Linked DNA regions of Yarrowia lipolytica. The protein of the gene in region 1 purifies or fractionates together with the protein of each later gene. This does not show direct contact. Links are inferred from orthologs where the notes say so. Each region holds a gene or a part of one and is shown on either strand. Other genes may lie near its edges.

Region 1 (3,309 bases):
GCATCTCCACCCTCTGTCACCTCCCACACTCCAAGATGGCACTCCGAGGTGGCTACGTAGATGCGCCAGCTGCGGTTCGTAGAGGGAACCACTCGGACTCCAGTGATTCCACGTCTGTTGGAAGACACGGAAAAGGCGGATCGAATGTTGCTCAACAGGCCGGCCTTTGTGTCTCGCAGAGTCCAGTAGTTGAGAGCAGCCTCGTCCTTATCTCGAAGAGAGAGGCCAATGAGACGGCCCGAGGACAGAGACAGCACCAGCGTGACATCGTCCATGCGGTTCACGTGCTCAATCACCTCACCACTGTATAGCTTAATCTGGGTCTCCACCTGCTGTCGTGTTCGCAGGTACCCTTCAGCAGCTGCACCTCCCACTGACTCCCAGAAGACACACAAACCAGAATTGACACCCACTAGCACCAGACCGGGATGTCCAACGTCCTTGAAACTCGGCGTCACGGGGATCAGGTGACCCAGAGCATTATCCTGGACTCCCAGACTATGTGTAAAGGTCTCTGGGGTCGGCTCAGGAGATGTGTACTTCCACACATGTGCCTTGTTCCCCACAACCACCAGCCCAAAGTCGTCAGATAGCGATGAGCTCACATGCTCACCGGAATCAAAAGCAATCTCCACTCCTGATAGATCGGGTCTTGCTGCCAATCGCGTCACATTGTACATGGCCGTGCGGGTGATTTCGGAGCCATAATCCGCCAGACTGTCCTCCACAGCCGACAGGTTGGTGAACGACTTTTCCGTCACATCGTCGTTGAAGAGCGTCGCAGGCACAACTCGGTTGAGTTCTTGCTGCACCGCTTTTTGCCGCAGCTTTCGAATATTGCCAATTTGCGACATGGATGGATGTGTCTGTGTTTGTGTTTGGATCTTTTTGTGCAACTCTCAATTGCCTGCATTAGGGTTAGGGTCTACCAGGAGGTGGATTATGTTGTGGAATGATGGTTGTCGTAATTGCACAAAGAACCAACTACAATGGACTTTTAAACCCTTGATAGTGCCGTCACGGCGACTCCTGTTATTGTTTTGTGTCTTTGGACGCTCTATTGTCTCGTTCTTCTTGCAAATACTACCCTAAGTAAAATACCAACTAATACGAGGTTCACAACAAAGGATTAACAAAATTGACACAACCTACGGGCCAACTAATAGTCAAGTAGGCCCTCAACAACATTCTCGCTCTTTCTGAAACCAACAACATCAACTGGGAACCAGGAAAGTAAAGATATAGCTATATATCAGTTATTAACTCGTCAATTAATACGACCAGATTGGATTATACATTTTACTATCGTATGTGATTGTAACATCACCATCATTCTTAACAAAATCCTCAACCCTTTTCAATCAAGTTGGTGGTTGATAGAAACTAAAGCTGTAATAGATACTATACCCAACTCATACCTTCATCTCATATACATATGCTCGCTACAAATTATTTCTCCCAATCCTCTTGTTTGCCACTCACAATAGTGGCGATGATTAGTAAACTGATCTCAGTAGGTTTTCAATAGTAAGACACCCAAAAGTAGCCATTGACGTACGAAAAGTGTGCGTGTTTTTTTGAAAATTAGGTGTCACATGACCATAATAATCACTTTTCATATCACGTGACCAAATCATCTCGCACAGTCGTCCAAACACCTCCGTCTACTGACATTTCTACTACTCCATCTTATCAGGGTAAGGGCAACCGTAACTGTAAAAAATTTATGCAGGCGGTGAAATTTTCGCCTACGCAGACATTACACCGAACCACAGTTACAGGTACAGCAAGAAAATATGTTGCGACAAGTGAAACCGAAAAACGCTCGGGCCAAGCGAGCCGTCGATGCCAAGGAGCCCAAGATTGTCGAGAACACAAAGCAGGCGCTGTTTGTGCCCGGCCAGACCTCCAACCAGCTTCTTCACGATGCCATGGTGGATCTTTGTGCTCTCAAGCTGCCCGATGGCAAGCGATTCAACAAGAAGAACGAAATCAACCCCTTTGAGGATGTGTCCTCGTTGGAATTCTTCTCGGAAAAAAACGACACATCTCTGCTGGTCTTTTCGTCGTCTAACAAGAAGCGACCCAACAACCTGACCTGGATCCGAACGTTTGGATACCAGCTCTTCGACATGATCGAGCTGCAGATTGTCAACCACCGACTGTTACGAGATTTCAAGGCCCAGACTGTGGGTGTGGGTCTCAAGCCCATGTTTACCTTCAACGGTACCGGCTTTGAAACCGACCCTGTTCTGATGCATGTCAAGTCTCTGTTTCTGGACTTCTTCCGAGGCGATACCACCGATCTGCAGGATGCTGCCGGTCTGCAATATATCATTTCAATCTCTGCCGGCGAGGTGCAGGAAGACAAGCCTCTGCCTCTGATCAACTTCCGAGTTTACAAGATCCGATCTTTCCGATCTGGCCAGAAGCTTCCTCGAATCGAGCTGCAAGAAATCGGCCCCCGATTCGACTTCAAGATTGGCCGACGACAGGCTGCTGCTCCTGACGTGGAGAAGGAGGCTCTGCGAGTGCCTGAGCAGCTGCGACAGAAGACCAAGAAGAACGTGGAGGTGGACAACATGGGTGACAAGATTGGCCGAGTCCACGTGGGTAAGCAGGATCTGGGCAAGCTGCAGACCCGTAAGATGAAGGGTCTCAAGAAGAAGTACGACCAGGTCGAGGACGACGAGGAAGCCGATGACGAGGTGGTCACCACCAAGAAGGCCCGAGTGGAAGAGGAGGAGTATTTTAATGAGTAATTGATAGAATGCATTTTAATGATAACCGTTTGTGTAGCCACGTGAACAAACTCCAAATTTTTTCATCAAACAAAAGAGATTGCGTATTCCGTTCGATTCATCAAGGGTAGATATCTATTTAATTTTTAGTATTAGTATTATATTAGATTGTTTCGTATGTCACGATACCAGAAAACATTCTGAAACTGTCTTCCATGTGGTTTTTATCGAACTGATGTCAAAAGGAGAAAAAACGACCAGTAGAGTCGTCTTCCAACCAACCACGGCGTCAATAAAAAGTGATTTATAGATGGATATGTATCTTTTTAAATGAATTGAGATGTTCTCAGACAAGTATAAATACACGGCAAGTGCAGTATTACCTGAACATAATTACAAAAGATCAAGCGTCTACAACTACAAACTCTCTACGACTCAAATATTCGGGTGGGACTCTTTGGTCCATGATTTATTACCCAAGAGGTTCGGATTTTCACCTACTCCTCTCAAACTAGATAAACAGGTTCGGTCAGTTACGTCCTCCGGCTAAGAGGTTCACCGCCTACTC
Region 2 (4,488 bases), on another chromosome or scaffold:
CGTAAAATCTCATTCCATCAGCAACCGTTACCTGTAGATATGAGTCCTGATGACGATGCCATTTTCCAGTCGCAAAAATAAGGTTCATCACTCCGTCTTAATTACACCCTCGAATTTCATCTCGGCCATGCATCCCATAGTGCCTCAACCTGGCTCTGTGGCGGACAGTCAACGCAACACAAATATGGTGAAGCCGCGCTCCAAGGTGGAAAAGCCCTCCAGCAAGAAAAAAACGTCCGGCAAGGATAAATCCAAATCCGAGGAGGTGATGAAGGTGGAGCAACATGAGGGAGATGAGACGGAAGAACAGGTTGAAGAGAAGGAGAAATCCGAGGAGGTGGAGAAGTCTCCACAAGTGAACGTCAAAGAAGAAGACACTCCACAGGAAGCTCTCAACTCACCCGAGGTGTCTCAATCTTCGGAACTGGCCGAAAACACAGACTACATTGCTCTGACTTCTGCGCTGTCCATGCTTACGAGACAGCAAGAGACGAGCAAAAGAGACTTGGTCAAACTGTCGCAAATGAGACAGCAGGCGGTGGAGCAACCCGAGCAGTTTTTGGAAAAGGTCAAGAGCGGACAAGTGTCTTTCCCCAAGGCTCTCTATGTCACCATGGTTCCTTCAATCGACTGGAACCAGTACGACTTTGATAACCGAGAGTTGGACGCTGTTATCGGGCGTCAGAGAAAGGAGTCAGAAAAGGGTGTTGTTGAAGAGGTTCCGTTGTTTAACCAGTAGTGGACTGTACACCAAGAGGCTACAGTACTCATCAAACAACAATTTATGACACAGTACCTCCAGTGTCTTGGTATTTATAGGTAAAATGTATTATTATTGTATTATTATTGTAGCACTACTACCGTACAAGAATTACATTCCGTATTGTATGCAATCTATTATCTAGTTAGGTCACTCCACAGTGGCGTTGGAAAAGTCCACGTTATAGGTGGGATCATCCTTTCGAGAAATCTTTCGGTACTCGTCAATAACCTTTTGTCGCTCGGCCTCGAGAATGAGACGCCGGGCGTTGTCTCCGGAAGCCTTGGGGACGTTAGGAAGCAGCTTTCGAGGCAGATTCAGCACAGGGGGAGCGTCAGCCACCTCTCCAAACTTGGCCTTCTTGTTCTTCTTTTCTAGCACGGCCCAAGGATCGGGCGACTTATCTCTCTGCTTCTTGGGGAAGAACAGGTCGTTCTTGAGCCGTTTCTCATCCATCCCGTCTCCCTCCTCTGCAGCCTCATCGGCCTTCTTGTAGTCCATCTCGTTCTGCAGAACCCGGTTCTTCTGCTTCTGAATGTTCTTCTTGTCAAGCCGTGTGAGCTCCTTGGCGTTTTCCGACTTGCGGGGCTTCGCATTGGGCAGCGCTTCGTCAACTCTTCGAGAGAAGTCCGCCCACGACTCACCGGGTTTCATTTGCAGCTCGGAGTTCTCATGCGAAATGTGTTTGTTGGTAGGGTACAGTTCCTTCTTTTGCTTCTTTCGGCCCCTCTCCTCCTCCTGGCTCTGGGCAGTTCGCTCCTGGCGGGCCATCATTCGCTTGAAGCTCTTGGGGGTATCGTCATCGTGACTGTCGTTGTAGTTGTCCTTGGCGAACTTCCCCTTCTTCTTGGTGAACTTGCTCTTCTTTCGGTTAGAGAAGTCCTCGGGGTCCTGGTCCAGCGGTACCACCTCTCGTTTGAGCACGTTTCTCGGTCGTTTTCGGGGCATTTGTGTATGGTGATGAGTATATCTGAAGTATCTTGGAACTACAGTGATGCTGGAATAAACTTGCACTGCATGAAATTATTTTTCTGACGACAAACCTTATTCAAGAAATTTACAGACATGCTGCTACGAGGATATTGGTGATATAACAACGCCATACACAGACACACAAACACACAATGGTGAAACGATCGCGAGACGTGGCCAAGTTTGAAAAGCGGGCCAAGGCTCGGCAGGAGCAGGACAGCAAGCTTGCGCAATCATGGCAGTACATCAAAGACTCTGACAACGAGGAGGATGAGGACTATGGACCTCGATCTTTCAAGGAGGAAGAATCTCTCGGTGAAATGCTGCCTGTGCGAGGCGAAGACGGCCAGATCAAGCGGGTGATGCGCAAGAAGGGCGACAAAATCAGCAAGCGAAAGCTGGAGGAGCAAGCTGAGAGACAGCGACAGGAGGAAGAGGAGGAGGCAGCTCGAGAGGCAGCAGAGGCAGCAGCAGCAGAACAGGCAGCCAAGGAGGCCGCCGAGAAGGAAGAGGAGGACGACATTGGCGATTCTGATTTCGAGGAGGAAGACGAGGTCACTGGAGAGGCCCGATTTCGAAAGGCCCAGGCCGAGATTGCAGAACTGGCCGACCAGCTCAACGAGGACGCCGAGGAGAACATTCACTGTCTGCGCAAGATTCGGGAGCTCATGGGTCGAAAGCAGTCATTCCGGGTGGTACAACTGACGATTCTGTCGCTGGTTCCTATTTTCCAGTCGATCATTCCTGGTTACAAAATCAGACCCTTAACCGAGGCCGAAAAGCGAGAAAAGGTGTCTAAGGAGGTCAAGAGACTACGAAACTTCGAGACGTCGCTGCTGCAGAACTACAAGGCGTATCTAGACTACATTAGCAAGTTTTCCAAGAAGGCCCGAGGCTCCACTGAAGGCACCATGAAACGAATTTTGGGAGACTCGTGCGTGGTGGCAGCCTGCGAACTTCTCAAGACGTCTGCGTACTTCAACTTCAGATCTGACCTCGTGGCGATTGTGGTGAACCGTGTGGGACAGAAGCCCTACGACGCCAACTACTTCAAGGCGTTGTCCACCATCGAGTCTCTGTTTGAGGACGACTTCGAGGGTTCTGCTGTGAAGGAGATTGTCATGTCCTTGTCCAAGATGATCCGTGCAAAGAAGTATAGAATTGACGAGTCGTTGCTCAACTCACTGCTTAAACTGCGGTTGCTGACAGAGCTCGACGCCAGAGCTTCCCAGAGACACGTGGAGTCTCAACAAGCACCGACAGCCAAGGTGCGAAAGAAGGACCGAGTGCACCTGACCAAGAAGCAGCGAAAAACGCTCAAGGAGAAGAAGGAGATCGACGAGGAGATGCTAAAGGCAGAGATGGCGGTATCGACCGAGGAGCGAGAGAAGATCCAGGGAGAGACGCTCAAAATCGTCTTTGTTCTGTACTTTAACATTCTCAAGGAACGACCACAGCATCTCATGGCAGCCACTCTGGAGGGTCTGGCCAAATTTTCGCATCTCATCAACGCCGACTTCTTTGGCGATCTGCTGGAGGTGCTACGGGAGCTCATCACCGAGCGTCAAATCCGATACACCGACGACGGAAAGCAAGAGTTCTTGGAAACCTCTACCCGAGAGGCTCTTCTGTGTATTGTCACTGCATTCGTGCTGCTTGGAGGCCAGGTGGGCGAGTCCATGAACCTCGATCTGACCTTCTTCATCAACCACTTCTACTCGTCACTCTACGCTCTGGGTCTCAACCCCGACATTGAGCTGTCACACAAGTCTCTTCGTCTTGATGATCCCAACACCAACGAGTCCGCCAGCAATAAGCGGTCCAAAATCAACGTGGCCACAGAGATGGAGATGGTGGTGAGGTCGTTCGAGGGTATTTTCTTGCAGCAGAAGCACGTGTCTCGGCTGCGAGTCCAGGCTTTTGCGAAGAGACTGGCTACCATCTGTCTCCAGCTACCCGAAAAGTCGTGCATGGCCGGTCTCAAGATTCTCGACCGGCTCAATAAGAAGTTCACCGTTATGACCGCTCTGTACTCGTCCGACGACCGAATCACCAACGGAGTGTACCGAATGGACGTGGACCAACCCGACCATGCCAACCCCGAAGCATCTACCATCTGGGAGACAGTGTTGCTGGAGAAACACTTCTCGCCAGACATTGCCAAGGCCGCCAAACTGGTGCCCCGAAACGTCAAGAAGAACAAGCATTAGAGAGGATTATAGAAATGTATATTTGGACAACAGGAATAGCTAGTGAGTGACTGAGTGTAAACAGTGTGTTATAGATGAGTAAATCTACCATACGATTCATCTGAATGTATAGGCAAAGCTCTATAGGAGCTACAGTTACTCAGCAACTGCACCTGCGTTTGATTATGCCGTATCTGACAATGACGCAATCAATAGTATCCATTATGGAAAATGAGGATCCAGTAACTATGTATTCATTCAGACATAACACAACATACGATAAGACGTGGAAAGGGGTCATAGAGAGAGACCCCCACCTTTCCGATGGACATAGTCTATGGGAAATGCAGGTCAGGATGCTTTCAGATGTTTTGAGAACTCTCAAACAACTGTAGTGAGTACACAGGAATGAAAGTAGTTGTAATATCTTCTGTACTGTGGTAGCTGAGTTCAGAGCTCTCTCTTGACATTAGTAGGTTCGTATAACAAACGTCGGTCGATCTGCGTCAGTACCTCGATTATGCTATTCAAATGCAGAACACCTCCGTTGATATCACCACGACCCAT
Region 3 (3,492 bases), on another chromosome or scaffold:
CTCTATGACAGCTAAATCAGGGTGATATGTGAGAATACTGGTACATACTGTACCTGGGCTACAATTATCTTACATCAACATCAATATTACTTGTACACATTCACCAATCCGTAAAATCAACGATTATGACTTTATAAGACCGTCTCTCTCCTTCCTGACACCCGCTTGAGTCTGTCCTTAGTCAAGACAAACATTAGTTGGACTTCTGTTAAGATAAATGACAACTAGCTGTTCAACATCAGTCCTTCAGTGATGGTGGAGAGATGGGAAGTTCGCCAAGTTGTAGTACTTGATGGTCATTTCAGTACGGAATACAAAAAAACTCCATAAAATCTGACATTTCCTCTGATATCCCAATTTTTGAAAATTTTCTTCCACTCGAAATACTTAGTGTTTAGTTGAAGGAAGCCGGCCCAGAGAGTCCGATCAGGATGTGAATAATGACGCCAACAACTTGAATTGCAGAAACGAGCTCATAGTCCTATTTCACAAGACTCTCGTCACTTCTCCTACACGATTTTTGTGGAAGATTGGACCATGATATCAGAACGACATCTGCAACTTACAGCTAGAGGATTCTGTTAAAGATCAGTGAGGACACACTGAAGTCGGAGACGGCAGGCAGTTTGTCAACACTTGGTGTTAGGATACACCACGGAGATAATGCTATGTACTGTACTTGTACTTGTACACAGAGATATATGGAGCAAGTTTTCTGGTACGAGTCGGTAGATCGACATGTTCATCAATATCAACGACGCTATAGTTCTATAGTACAATATGTACTTTTGACCCTTCCTACTCAGACTCAGAACCCTAGGATACTTGCAGTATTGTAGCTGACAGATGTTCTGTAGGGGCAATGATCTGTATATGCAGCTATTCCTGATTTGCAAGAGATATCCTCCTCCCTGTACTTGTATATTGTTCTTCACTTTTGTCATGTACTGGTTGTGAGCTAAGTTGCATTGCATGAAAAAATTGTACATGAAAAATACGGAAAAACAGGGGAAAAAATCAGAACATGGGCAACTAAGGTAAGGAGAGGTTTAGAAGAGCCCTTCTCTGCAATTTCAGACAATGTAAATGCATTGTATTTCTGTCATAATTCTAGGGATTGTTTTTAGCCACAATTCTCATAATTATATCTCTGTATCTCTGAGTATTTTTTCCCGTATTTTCCCTAATAATTGCTGCAAAATCGATATTAAATTGCCCCCATTCCAGAGCCAAAAGTTTATAGTGCCATACAACTGAGGGTGCTATCAAGAAGACTTAAACGCCAGCTGAATGATGTTTATCAAGCTGCAAGTCCTTTGGAACAGCAACCGTTCTGTTATTTTTATCCGGTTTTTCAAAATATATGCTGTTTCGGGCCCGTTTTCATTCTTGCTGATTTTCCATGAATTTTTCCTTATTAATATTGCGAAAATCTGTCGTAAATCGAACTCCCAACTGGACTACATAAATAATAACCTTAAATTCAACCCAAATTGGAGATCTATTCACACCCTCACTGAAACTTGCTGAATATTATCCAAAATTGCTAGTTATTTTTACAGTAGCTTCATCCTGTGGTCATAAAATATTCCTCTAACTTTCACCGTCTCAGCATAACTATTGCTCCTGTTTGAGTCACCCAACTAGTCAGTCCCCATTTTAGCTTTGATCACATGACACATCCCAATCGGTAAAAACAGTCACACGCTGGTCTCGAACTCTAAATTTTGCAGTAGATTTCCACCGGTCAAAAACTCTGCACACATCTTTCGTTCCTCACTATCTCAAAATGTCCCACCGAAAGTACGAACAGCCCCGACACGGTCACCTGGGTTTCCTCCCCCGAAAGCGATGCACCAAGTCTCGAGGAAAGGCCAAGTCTTTCCCCAAGGATGACAAGTCCAAGCCTGTTGCTCTGACCGCCTTCCTTGGTTACAAGGCCGGTATGACCACCATTGTCCGAGACCTCGACCGACGAGGCTCCAAGATGGACAAGCGAGAGATTGTCGAGGCTGCCACCGTCGTTGACACTCCCCCCATGGTTGTTGTCGGTGTTGTTGGTTACGTTGCCACTCCCCGAGGTCTTCGATCCCTGACCACCGTCTGGGCCGAGCACCTGTCCGAGGAGGTCCGACGACGATTCTACAAGAACTGGTACAAGTCCAAGAAGACTGCCTTCACCAAGTACGCTAAGCAGTACGAGGGTGACGCCGCCCAGGTCCAGAAGGAGCTCGAGCGAATCAAGAAGTACTGCACCGTTGTGCGAGTTCTTGCTCACACCCAGCCCAAGCTGACTCCTCTTAAGCAGAAGAAGGCTCACCTTGCTGAGATCCAGATCAACGGTGGCTCCGTTGCCGACAAGGTCGAGTGGGCCCAGCAGCACTTTGAGAAGACCGTCACCATCGACACTGTTTTCGAGCAGGACGAGATGATTGACGCCATTGCCATCACCAAGGGTAAGGGATACGAGGGTACCACCCACCGATGGGGAACCAAGAAGCTGCCCCGAAAGACCCACCGAGGTCTGCGAAAGGTCGCCTGTATTGGTGCCTGGCACCCTGCCAACGTCCAGTACACCGTGGCTCGATCCGGTCAGGACGGTTACCACCACCGAACCTCCGCCAACCACAAGGTTTACCGAGTTGGCAAGGGCGGTGACGAGTCCAACGGCTCCACCGAGTTCGACCGAACCCCCAAGACCATCACCCCCATGGGTGGTTTCGTCCGATACGGTGAGGTCAACAACGACTTCCTCATCCTCAAGGGTTCCATCCCCGGTGTCAAGAAGCGAGTCATCACTCTGCGAAAGTCCATGTGGCTGCACACCTCTCGACGAGACCTCGAGAAGACCCAGCTCAAGTGGATCGACACTGCCTCCAAGTTCGGAAAGGGCCGATTCCAGACCCCTGCCGAGAAGACTGCTTTCATGGGCACTCTCAAGAAGGACCTTTAAGCGGTTTCTCTTGTTGGAAATTTAAAAAATTAAAATGCACAATAGCAATAACCGAGTGTGTAGAGTACCTGCAACTGAGTGCAAAAGTACTTGTAGTACTTGTAGTCCTAGCGCTGTATACTGTAAGTAGATTGTCGTTTGACTAACTGTAAGATAGTTACTTTCCTTACACTAACTTGATTCGAAGACGCGTAGAGGGAGATCGATCATGACTATGAGCGAGCCCAACTGACAACATTCATATGAAGGGAAACAGTGAAGGCATAAGATGGAGCAACAATGCAGACGAGTATGGTTGCAGATTGCACTCTCGCAAATGCATGATACATGGTTGTACTTCTGTTTCTGGAACGAATTGCTTCCCATCATTGGCCTGGTGTGAGACAGGTGTGCCGACAGATGTGCCGACAGATGTGCCGTCAGATGATTTGAAGTGCTTACTGAGCAAGGTGAGATTGTCGCAGACTCTCCGCAGACAAGGAGACAGTACTAACAGGAACATTACAGGTTCATTCCATTGAAAGAGCTCCTTCTATTAA
Region 4 (3,164 bases), on another chromosome or scaffold:
CTGGAGCTTGTCGATTTGAGACTGCAACACGGATGTGAGAGAAGAGGCTTGGTTGGACGAGATCGACAACTCGTGAATTTGGCCCTTGAGCGTCGCGTTTTCTTGCTCGTATACAGCACACTTTTGCGCCTTGCTCTTTAGCTGTTCGGACACGCCCTCCAACTCGCGCTCAAACGACTCGTACCGCTCCTCCATGTGGCTTCGGGACTCGTCATGGCGGCGATTGAGCTCTTCAATGGCCCGTTTATGCTGCTCCTCAAACTTGCCACGTAGTTGCGTTTCGTCGCGGCGAATGTTTTGGATCTGAGTGTCCATCTCGCGTTTCAACTCGTCTACTTTCTGTTGAGACTGTGCCTGGAGTGTCGACAACAGCTCAGTTTTTTCATCCATCTGTACACGGATCTGCTCTAGCAGGCGTTCCAGTTCCTCAACGCGTCGCTCCTTCTCCTCCAGCTTGTCCACAAGCTCCTTGACGTGGCTCTCCTTGTCCTCCTTCTCTCGATCCATATCCTTGACTGACGACTCCCACAAGGACATGAGATTGTCTGCGTTTTCACTCAGCTCCTTGATACGCGCCGAGCCCTCGTTGATCTCGTGTTGCTGGTGCTCATTCTCACGCCTCAAGCTGTCCACCTTCCTCCTCAGGGCCTCGTTTTCGTCCTCCAGCTTTTGCTTCTCAAAACACATTCGGTTCAAATCGTTCAACACCTGCATGTGCTTGTTGGCATTGTCCTGAAACTCTTGTCGCTTCTGCTCCAGCTCCTTGTCCTTCTCACCTAGCCGAACCCACATCTCCTTGACCATGGTGGAGGCATAAGAGTCGTCCTCTCCACTGCCCTTGGAACCCCCTCCCATCTTGTTGCGAATCTGAACCGGAGCCGTGTGGCTAGGCGTAGGCGGCACAGACGGGTTCATCGAAGGAGCCCCAATGCCAGTTCGGCGTCCGTACAGAGTGTCGTCTTTGTGTAACCTGGAAACGGGCACCGGCAGAGCTCCAGGAGCAGGTCGCTTGGAGCCTATAGGCACGTTCTCATTGTTGGCGACGCTGCGGGGTTTGTGTTCGCTGACCTTTGCCGACTTGGCCACAAACCGGGGGATGCCGGAATTCGCCCCCTTGTGAGGCTGTAACACATTGTCCATATTGTGTGTCATGTATCGTATCGTCCAGGGGAGCTTTAGATGTTTGGAATTCAATTAAGCGGTGATAGTGTATGTTTTGATATAAGCTTTCAGTGTTTTGAGGGCGGTTGTCCCGGCAACGCAGGAGGACTAGGTTGGGAGGAGTCGAACCTGACGCAGAGGAGTGATTGAAAAATGCTTGATAATGATGAAAATCCGGAGATGTTTTTATACCAACTGAATCTCGCCGACGAGAGGAGCAAGTAGGTATAATGATTTTTCTCTCCAGATGGGTATTTGACGTGCTGGATGTGTGTCGTCTTCGACAGTGCTTTCTTTTTACGGTGGGTGGCCCTCCAAAATCGGGTCACATAAATTACCCAAAACCCTAACTATATGTGTGTTTACATTACTTGGACTTTTCAAGTAAAATTCTTCAACAAAAGATGGCTGGTTTTGAGAGGGCTACAATGGTCGTAATTGCACCAATGTTTTGTTGCTGAGAGAGGCCGAAGCCAATATCACCGCAGATGCAAACACATGACCTTTTTTTCGCGATGATCTGCTTCTACCATCCATTTTTACATCACCGTCATAACCTGTGTTTGGCTTTCTGCCGTGCATATCTGAGGCACACCACCAAAAAAAATCCTGGGAGAGGAAAAGGTGAAATTCTAAACCGATATTTTTGCACGCACTCACAAGAAAAAACACAGCATGGGTCAAAAATCAGGAGCCAAGGGCAAAGTGACCATTAAGGTGGAGAAGCAGGACGCCGCTGCTGCCAAGCCGAAGCAGCAGAAGGTGTCGAAGCAGCAGAAGGCCGCTGAAGAGGAGTCGGAAGACGAGGATCTCGACGACCTGGAAGGCGGAGATGGAGAGGAGGATGAGGGGGTTGATTCGGAGGAGGAGGAGGAGTCCGAGGACGATTCGGAGGATGACTCGATGATGGAGGACGAGTTTGACATTGACGAGGACGAGTCTGAGGACGAGGAGATGGACGCTAGTGCACTACACAAGGCCAAGAAGGCAAAAAAGGATGAGGCGTTCGGCAAGGCCTTCTCTGCCATTTTGGGCTCGTCCATCAAGGCGCACGCCAAGGAGAACCCCATTCTGATTCGATCCACAAAGTCGGCCAAGGAGCTGGAAGACCAGAAGCTGGAGGCCAAGGCCCGACGGCTCATCAAGCTGGAGAAGCGAAAGGCCGCAGAGAAGGACCGAGTCAAGACGCTGGTGCCTCTCGACGAGCCCGAAAAGGCTAAGGAGATTCTCGCTAACGAAAAGAAATTGAAAAAGGTGGCCCAGAGAGGAGCCATTCGAATGTTCAACGCCATTCTGGCTGCCCAGACTGGAGCCAAGTCGATGGACGAAACCAGCATTCTGGGAGCCAAAAAGCGAGAAGAAATGGCCTCGCAGATGTCCAAGGAAAGCTTTTTGGACGCCGTCCGGGAGGGCTGAATGCCCCGATATAGATATAGTTAATGGGTTGGATTATTTCAATTGGAGGTGTAGGCGGCGACGGGAAGAGCGTAGATAGGTATGAGAGTAAAACCCATTGGGTAGCCGTTTAGATGGTACATGGCAAGAGAGACATTGAGAAGAGAGACATTGAGAAGAGGATATCACCAGGATGGGAGTGAAAGTGCAGTACCAACAGTGAATCAAGTTAGTGGCTGAAATCTGATGACGATGATTTAATCGACACTATCTTTGAACAGAACTCATGAGAGGAGGTCTACTATGTAAGTACAGTGTGTACAAGCAGTACAGCTTCTTATCCCATTCCATCTCCCTTGGTTAGTGGACCAGAACCCCCCAAACAGATATACCTCCTCTATGATACTAAAATGTCGCTACCATCTCTTCATCTCCTGTTTTGGGCGACTTCGGACGACTTGTCCTGATCTCAGCATCCCATCAATTCGTCAACTAAAGCCAAGTAATCCTGTTATATCACTCGGAGCAATCGTTCTCTTCCGCTTACTCAGCGCCGTTGGGACCACACGACGTGCAAAGTTTAAATGCTCACATTTGACGCAACTTCT

What was found.
Region 2: the proteins of YALI1_A04119g (region 1) and YALI1_D13126g purify together in Saccharomyces cerevisiae (affinity purification with mass spectrometry, with the first as the bait; 3 studies listed by BioGRID). This does not show direct contact. The link is inferred for Yarrowia lipolytica from reciprocal best matches to the Saccharomyces cerevisiae genes RPF2 and NOC3.
Region 3: the proteins of YALI1_A04119g (region 1) and YALI1_C29810g purify together in Saccharomyces cerevisiae (affinity purification with western blotting; 3 studies listed by BioGRID, with this or other methods). This does not show direct contact. The link is inferred for Yarrowia lipolytica from reciprocal best matches to the Saccharomyces cerevisiae genes RPF2 and RPL3.
Region 4: the proteins of YALI1_A04119g (region 1) and YALI1_C17995g purify together in Saccharomyces cerevisiae (affinity purification with mass spectrometry; 3 studies listed by BioGRID). This does not show direct contact. The link is inferred for Yarrowia lipolytica from reciprocal best matches to the Saccharomyces cerevisiae genes RPF2 and RRP15.

What each region holds. Positions count from the first base shown.
Region 1 is NC_090770.1:410,128-413,436, forward strand, and holds YALI1_A04119g (uncharacterized protein), read left to right. Parts: upstream 1-1,796; coding exon 1,797-2,762; downstream 2,763-3,309. Other genes in the region: YALI1_A04109g (uncharacterized protein), read right to left, coding at 1-854. UniProt on the Saccharomyces cerevisiae protein: Required for biogenesis of the 60S ribosomal subunit.
Region 2 is NC_090773.1:1,310,760-1,315,247, forward strand, and holds YALI1_D13126g (uncharacterized protein), read left to right. Parts: upstream 1-1,884; coding exon 1,885-3,942; downstream 3,943-4,488. Other genes in the region: YALI1_D13108g (uncharacterized protein), read left to right, coding at 50-739; YALI1_D13124g (uncharacterized protein), read right to left, coding at 911-1,708. UniProt on the Saccharomyces cerevisiae protein: Required for synthesis of 60S ribosomal subunits and the transport of pre-ribosomes from the nucleoplasm to the cytoplasm. Also required for initiation of DNA replication.
Region 3 is NC_090772.1:2,979,282-2,982,773, forward strand, and holds YALI1_C29810g (60S ribosomal protein uL3), read left to right. Parts: upstream 1-1,789; coding exon 1,790-2,953; downstream 2,954-3,492. UniProt on the Saccharomyces cerevisiae protein: Component of the ribosome, a large ribonucleoprotein complex responsible for the synthesis of proteins in the cell.
Region 4 is NC_090772.1:1,797,693-1,800,856, forward strand, and holds YALI1_C17995g (uncharacterized protein), read left to right. Parts: upstream 1-1,836; coding exon 1,837-2,577; downstream 2,578-3,164. Other genes in the region: YALI1_C17988g (uncharacterized protein), read right to left, coding at 1-1,152. UniProt on the Saccharomyces cerevisiae protein: Constituent of pre-60S ribosomal particles. Required for large subunit rRNA maturation, in particular processing of the 27S pre-rRNA at the A3 and B1 sites to yield 5.8S and 25S rRNA.